Mus musculus: one gene and its partner. The protein of the gene in region 1 purifies or fractionates together with the protein of each later gene. This does not show direct contact. Links are inferred from orthologs where the notes say so. Each region holds a gene or a part of one and is shown on either strand. Other genes may lie near its edges.

Region 1 (3,911 bases):
GTGAAAGGTCTGAGTTCCTATCCCAATTCCAGCTACTGGCGCTTTTAGGAAGCAAGAATCCAGGAACACGCTAATCAACTGTCCATTTCCCTTTCCGAGGAAGCCCTCAAGCAGGGTTTCCGAAGCTGCAGCTTGCAACATTAGCCACCTCCCGGCGTAGGGCTCTTCCCTACCCCTACTGCAGACAGCCGCGCGCCGCCCCATTCCAGCGCTCGCTGCTTGGGTTCTTGTTCACTCACAGGGTGCTCTGGACTCCTCCAGTGTTGGCTTGGCTTAGCACCTGCGTCAAAGCCTTGGGACGCAGCATGCCTGCGTCTCTTAACCCTGACCTGCACCAACACACCCCTACAGTCGCAGCCTCTTGCTCTCCCTCAGTCGCTTCCGGTGGCCCAGGAGCCCAGCTACGAGGCGCCTGGGAGTTGTAGTCACCGGGCCCATCTACTGAGGCTCTGGCCCAATTCCCGCCCCGCGCGAGGGCCTCTGGGAATCGTAGTTTCATGTGATCGCTCAAGGAATTCTGGGAACCATAGTTCAGCGTTCCAGTGGGACCATGTGGTTGTGGAGTTGGGGGGGGGGAGAGCGGGAGCGCAAGGACAGTGGCAACGGTGGAAATACTTTTAACATCTTCCACGCGAAGGACGCCTTCGTGCCTACTGGTCAATCGCAATCTAATAATAAATCTATCTGTTAGGCACATCCTTGACCATTTTTTAAAGCAATATTGTACGCTAGTCACAATTCTGTGGGGTCTTGCTCTTTTACTCCCAAGGCTCAGAGAAGCCACGTAGGCAAACTCCAGGTCTCTGAAACCGTCCTTAATGGCTCCCTCGGGGCGGTTCCCCGGAGGCCACGACTGCTCGAATCCGCAGAGGTCTTAAGGACGTCCTGAACCAGGAACGAACCCAGGCCTCTCAAGAAAACCAAGTGACCCCAGGGAACGGAGATAAGACGGCGACAACGAAAGTCCTTTGTCCGAACAGGAGGGAGCCGCAGGCGGCCCTGAATCTCCCGCCCTCCGCGCTGTCCGGCCCGGGCCAGCTGCGCACCCTGCTCGGGCCTGGGCCGCCCCAGCTGCAGTGCTCCCCCAGGCCGCCCGGGGCGCTGTGGCTGCGGCTGTCCGGAGTGGGCGGCGGAGCCTTGGGGAGGGGCGGGAGGGGGAGTTGGAGGCCCCGGAGTCGGGCCGGGCCGGGCGGGCCGGGAGGAGGAGGAGGAGGAGCCGGACGGGCTGGCGGGCGGCCGGGCGGCGGCATGGCGGAGCCGAGTGGGGCTGAGACGAGGCCCCAGATTCGGGTCACCGTCAAGACCCCCAAGGACAAGGAGGAGATCGTGATCTGCGATCAAGCCTCGGTCAAGGAGGTAGTATCTGGCTGGGAGGAGACAGGAGGGCGGGAGCAGCGCACCGAGGGGGTCAGAGCAGAGAGGGAGACCTCGGGGTCGGCCTGGCGCCGGGGACGGGCCCCCGGCCGGGGCGGAATCCAGGGGCATACAGGCGGGAGAAGCGGGTAGGGGGCGCCCTGCCAGGGCTAGTCCGGGGAGCGTGGCGCGGGTAGGGGCCGGTTTGGCCGCGCTACCCGGGCTGGGGGCGTGGTGGGGGAGCTTGAGGAAGGGACACCTTGCTTGCGGGCTCCATTTGGAGCCTAGGCTTGAGGAGAGTGTGCTCCAGGGTCACTGGTAGAGGTTCCAGGCGCTAAGGCACCGTGCGGCCCGAGCGAGCTGCGGCTATGCTCTCCCGGGAGTGTCGCGTGGTGGTGGTGCCCTCTCTCTCTCTCTCTCCCTCTCTCTCTCTCTCCACAGAGCCTCCTTGTCGCAAATCGAAACGGTTGTGTAGTTCAGTTTTCTGCTCTACAGGATTTGCTGAGCGCAGTAGGTGCTCAACAAAATAATATAGAATGAGTGAGGGAGTATTGCCTGTGTTCCCCACTGCTTGAAGCTGCTCCAGAATTGCACATAGGCGGGGCTTAGAATAGGCCATCTGGTTGGAAGAGAGGGATCTTTTGCTTAGCAAGTGCACTGTTTATAGTTAGAATATGTGTTGTGTTGTGTTGTGTTTTGGAGGAGCTGATAGAATCTAGAAAATTTAACTCGCCCCAGTGTAGCCGTTGGTACCACTGCTGCTCTCTCATTAGAGAATTTTAAGTCCCCTGGGAAAAGCTGAATTATAAAACAGCTCTTATTGAGAATGTGTCTGATGAAGACATTGATGTCCAGACCTGAGTTCCTATATCCCCGGATACATTACCTCTTCTCTGATCCTTATCTTTAAATTCCCAGCCCTGGGGAGGTAGAAGCAGGTGGATCTATCTGAGTTCGAGGTCTACATAGAAAGTTCCAGGACAGCAAGAGCTACATGCAGAGACCCTGTCTCTTAATTAATTAATTAATTAATTAAATTTAATTAATTTAATTAAGTAGAGATGGTAACTAACACACTAGATTCCTCAATAGATCTCAATAATACTCTAGATTATCTGTTATAGTGATGAGGAAGCTGGGACTGAAAAGCAGAGAGAAGGCTGAAGAGAGACAGCCTGAGCCCAAGGCTAGTTGAAGGATTTAGGATGGGGAGGGCTGCCCATGCCTCTGTGAGGTATCACTTTCAGAGAATTGGGTGGTGGGACAGAAGCTGCTGTTGTGGATAGCAGCAGGGGCTTTCCAGGGTTGGGATACTGTGTCATGGAACTAATTGAATGGATTCTTGTAGCTAGAGGGGCAGAACTGAGGGTCAAGTCTTGCAGCGGGGCGCAGTTGGCCTCTGCAGTGATCTCTGCCTCTTGACCACAGTTCAAGGAGGAGATCTCCCGGAGGTTTAAGGCTCAGCAGGATCAGCTGGTCCTGATCTTCGCAGGCAAGATCCTCAAGGATGGGGACACCCTGAGCCAGCACGGCATCAAGGATGGGCTCACAGTCCACCTAGTCATCAAAACCCCTCAGAAGTAAGTACAGACAGGAGCTGCCCTTGCTCCTGATTGTGACCTCACCTCCCATTCTTTCTCACCTGTTCAGCAGCCAGGCCTGGCACAGATGGATAAGGTCTTACCTCTGGGGGAGCCTGTCAGTACTCCCAGGTTGCCTTAGAGACTGTTGATAACTGATACCATCCCTCTCCCCAGCATCCTGCTAGCCTGGGGTAAGGGTGGAACAAGGCTGCTTAGGAGGTGGCTTGAGCTGTCAGTCCAAGGCCACCTTGTCACTTGTGCACACTCCAGCCAGGTTTCCCTACTCTTTGTCCTCAGGGCTCAAGATCCAGTGACTGCTGCTGCTTCTCCTCCATCCACTCCTGACTCTGCCTCTGCACCCTCCACCACGCCTGCCTCACCTGCCGCCGCCCCTGTCCAGCCCTGCAGCTCTGGCAATACAACTTCAGATGCTGGCAGTGGAGGGGGGCCCTCTCCAGTGGCTGCAGAGGGGCCCTCAAGTGCTACTGCATCGATCCTCTGTAAGCCTTTAGCGGGGGAGAGCATAATTTTGTATTGGCCAGGGGAGTGGGGTGCACAAAGATAAAGAAGAAGAATGGTCCCTGATCCCTAGTCCTAGTCCCATGACCGTAGTCACTCTTCCAGATGTTGGAACTTAAGCCAAGCTGGGGTGGGGAATGAATGATCGGTTTATGATGGTTTTTTTTTTTTTTTTTAAAGATTTATTTATTTATTATATGTAAGTACACTGTAGCTGTCTTCAGACACTCCAGAAGAGGGAGTCAGATCTCCTTACAGATGGTTGTGAGCCACCATGTGGTTGCTGGGATTTGAACTCTGGACCTTTGGAAGAGCAGTCGGGTGCTCGTACCCACTGAGCCATCTCACCAGCCCTTATGATGGTTTCCATGATTTCAGAGATGGACTCAAGTTCAGGAACAAAAGGAAAGATGGCGTTGGGGGAGGGGAGTCCTGGGTAAAGAGGGGAATGGAGAA
Region 2 (3,911 bases), on another chromosome or scaffold:
AGGTCACATGGCAAGGTGGTGTCCAGAGCCTTAATACTAAATACATCTTCGGCAAGTTGGGCTCGCTCTTCTCCCTGTATCTGGGTGCTATTACTTCCGAGTCAACTTCATCTTTGGGAAATGCTGCCAGATTTGCCCTTGGATTCTGTTTTGGCTTGGGTTGAAACTGCCTTATTTTGACTGACCCCTGAAAAAAGAAACTATATATGTGAAACCATCAATTTACAGTCTACAATCACTGAGTTGTTTTCGTGGTTTTTGTTTTTGTTTTTCTTAGGAGGTGCCCAGACATGGGTGACTGGAGCGCCTTGGGGAAGCTGCTGGACAAGGTCCAAGCCTACTCCACGGCCGGAGGGAAGGTGTGGCTGTCGGTGCTCTTCATTTTCAGAATCCTGCTCCTGGGGACAGCGGTTGAGTCAGCTTGGGGTGATGAACAGTCTGCCTTTCGCTGTAACACTCAACAACCCGGTTGTGAAAATGTCTGCTATGACAAGTCCTTCCCCATCTCTCACGTGCGCTTCTGGGTCCTTCAGATCATATTCGTGTCTGTGCCCACACTCCTGTACTTGGCTCACGTGTTCTATGTGATGAGAAAGGAAGAGAAGCTGAACAAGAAAGAAGAGGAGCTCAAAGTGGCGCAGACCGACGGGGTCAACGTGGAGATGCACCTGAAGCAGATTGAAATCAAGAAGTTCAAGTATGGGATTGAAGAACACGGCAAGGTGAAGATGAGAGGTGGCCTGCTGAGAACCTACATCATCAGCATCCTCTTCAAGTCTGTCTTCGAGGTGGCCTTCCTGCTGATCCAGTGGTACATCTATGGGTTCAGCCTGAGTGCGGTCTACACCTGCAAGAGAGATCCCTGCCCCCACCAGGTGGACTGCTTCCTCTCACGTCCCACGGAGAAAACCATCTTCATCATCTTCATGCTGGTGGTGTCCTTGGTGTCTCTCGCTCTGAATATCATTGAGCTCTTCTATGTCTTCTTCAAGGGCGTTAAGGATCGCGTGAAGGGAAGAAGCGATCCTTACCACGCCACCACCGGCCCACTGAGCCCATCCAAAGACTGCGGATCTCCAAAATATGCTTACTTCAATGGCTGCTCCTCACCAACGGCCCCACTCTCACCTATGTCTCCTCCTGGGTACAAGCTGGTCACTGGTGACAGAAACAATTCCTCCTGCCGCAATTACAACAAGCAAGCCAGCGAGCAAAACTGGGCGAATTACAGCGCAGAGCAAAATCGAATGGGGCAGGCCGGAAGCACCATCTCCAACTCCCACGCCCAGCCGTTTGATTTCCCTGACGACAGCCAAAATGCCAAAAAAGTTGCTGCTGGACACGAACTCCAGCCCTTAGCTATCGTGGATCAGCGACCTTCCAGCAGAGCCAGCAGCCGCGCCAGCAGCAGACCTCGGCCTGATGACCTGGAGATTTAAACAGGCTTGAACATCAAGCTGCCAATCGATTGTGGAGGAGAAAAAAAAGGGTGCTTGCAGAACGTGCACCTGGGGTGTTCATTTCGTTCCCGTGGAGGTGGTACTCAACAACCTCAGTAATGAGGCGTAGAAAACAAAGACATTACAATATCTAGGTTCCTTGGGGGGTGTTTTGGGATAGCTAGGCGGCAAAAGTAGGGAAAGGGGAGGTATGTAACGGTATTTAATGTAGAAGATTCAAAGAGCTTAAATTCTAGTAAGAGTCTCATTGGATGAAACATAGATAGGGCTTTCTCTCTCTGCCCCCCAACTGAACCTTAAGAATGGTTCTGTATACATGAGTGAGTGGGTGATATATATTTTTTTTAATTTTTGTTTTACTGAGATTCTGCCATAGAGCTTTGAGCAGGAATCCAAGTCCTCAACATGGCATTTCCTTTATGAAAAGACAGGTTGTCCTACATCCCCGCTAAAAAACATTCCAGTGTTTAAAAACTTGGCAGTTTGCAGGCGAGCTTCCCTGGCCTGACCCTCTAGGTGTGGATGGACCTTATGCTACTATACACGATTTTCATTCTTGGTAGGTATCAATTCGAAGTTCAGACAAGGTTCAAAGAAAAAGATTGCCCATGTATTTGCATCTCAGTGGGTTCTTTTTCAAATCTGTCCCACCTTTGTGTCTTCCATATATTATCCTCAGCTGGTCCTCACCCTCACCAAATGATTTCTATCGACATTTTTAAAACAGTGAGAAAGTCTTTTTTTTTTTTTTTTTTGAGTTAGCATCAGGGAGGCAAGCCATGCTCAATATTTAACAATCGCTTCTGTCTATGTGTGGGTGTGCAAGTGTGTAAGCGTGTGTTTTGTCATTATTGGTACAAGCAGAGGCAGTATAAACTCACAGATTTGAATCGAATTCACACAGTGTTCAAATTTGAACCTTCCTCATGGATCTTTGTGGTGTGGGCCAACGTGGTGTTTACATTATAGAATTCCTGCCGTGCAAAAGTGTAAAGCACACACTTTTTCCCTAAAATATTTTTTCCACGTATCCTATTATGGATACTGGTTTTGTTAATTATGATTTTTTTTTCTTTTTTAGAATGTAGCAGTAATAGCCATTACTGAAATGAATGATTTCCTTTTTCTGAAATATAATCATTGATGCTTGAATGATAGAATTTTAGTACTGTAAACAGGCTTTAGTCATTAATGTGAGAGACTTAGAAGAGGGTTGCTTAGAGTGGACTATCAAGTGAGCCTAAAGGAACTTTGTAGTAACTGGTAATCTGGTAATTTTTGTCCTACTTAACTACACATTAACTCAGAACTTGTATTCTGAGTTTAACAGTCTTTTAGATTGACGAGCAACTTGGATGTTTGCACTAAGATTTTCTTTGAGATACTAGAGGGGGTGAAGGAGTTTTCAGCAGTGCACATGTAACTAATTTATTTGAACTGTAAGCTAAAGACACCTACCAGTTTCTTCAAGTGACTTAAAAAAACTCATCACAGATGATTGAAATGTCGAGTTATCATGTTTCCTCTTGCGCGCCAGCTACACAAGGAGTTTTTGGACAATGAGAAACTAATTTGTTTGACATTCCATGTTAAACTACTGTCATGTTCAGCTTCATTGCATGTAATGTAGACCTAGCCCATCCAATCAATGTGCTCGGGAAAGTGTTCTTTATTCAATAAAATTTTAATTTAGTATAATAAAGATAACCTGCATGTCTTGTGTGATTTAAAAAACAAAAAAAACAAGAAAACTTACCAAATTTATTCAAGATTACCAAAAGTAGATCCCATAATTACAATGTCTTGGGCTAATGAAATCCACTTTTATTTTATTTTCATCTTTTGCTTGCCGGTATCTCTGTGCAATGGTATGTTGCTGCTTGCAGTGGCCAGGAAAAAAAAAAAATTAGTGTCAAATCCCCTAGAGATAGTTGTGAACTGCCATGTGGGTGCTGGGAATCAAATCTGGCTCTTTGAAGAACAGTGTTTTGTTAGTTTGATTTTTAAGGACAAACACCATAAGCATCATTGATTTTGAAATATTGAGGTAATATTTTAACAGGAAATAAAGCATACAAATGTTTAATTGGGAGAACAGTTAAACTCCACACCAGGTCTCACACACTCATAGAATCGAACCTAGAATTTTTTGCCAGCCTCTACATTCTCTTGCCATGGCTTCCTCGATACATGGAGTTGTAGGCCCGAGGTAGTGATTACAGTATTGGGGAAGGTATCTGGGTTGTTGCAGGTGGAGCTAAGACCTCACATATAAGGTAGAGCGTATACCTTAGCACTGAGGTGTGTCCTCATCTGGACTCAACTTTAGTGAGACTTGTTCAGTTGTCCACACCGACAAGCTTGGGGATATTACATTCAGAGAAGGTACTGGATTTTGGTAACTTTTATTAAGGAATTTTGTGAAGACAACATGCTGGTTATTGCAGGCAT

What was found.
Region 2: the proteins of Ubqln4 (region 1) and Gja1 purify together in Homo sapiens (affinity purification with western blotting; 3 studies listed by BioGRID). This does not show direct contact. The link is inferred for Mus musculus from reciprocal best matches to the Homo sapiens genes UBQLN4 and GJA1.

What each region holds. Positions count from the first base shown.
Region 1 is NC_000069.6:88,552,557-88,556,467, forward strand, and holds the start of Ubqln4 (ubiquilin-4), read left to right. Parts: upstream 1-1,159; 5' UTR 1,160-1,248; coding exon 1,249-1,356; intron 1,357-1,382; exon of another isoform or gene 1,383-1,863; intron 1,864-2,781; coding exon 2,782-2,933; intron 2,934-3,233; coding exon 3,234-3,436; intron 3,437-3,911. Other genes in the region: ragulator complex protein LAMTOR2, read right to left, coding at 240-307. UniProt on the Homo sapiens protein: Regulator of protein degradation that mediates the proteasomal targeting of misfolded, mislocalized or accumulated proteins.
Region 2 is NC_000076.6:56,387,257-56,391,167, forward strand, and holds the end of Gja1 (gap junction alpha-1 protein), read left to right. Parts: intron 1-277; 5' UTR 278-290; coding exon 291-1,439; 3' UTR 1,440-3,163; downstream 3,164-3,911. UniProt on the Homo sapiens protein: Gap junction protein that acts as a regulator of bladder capacity. A gap junction consists of a cluster of closely packed pairs of transmembrane channels, the connexons, through which materials of low MW diffuse from one cell to a neighboring cell.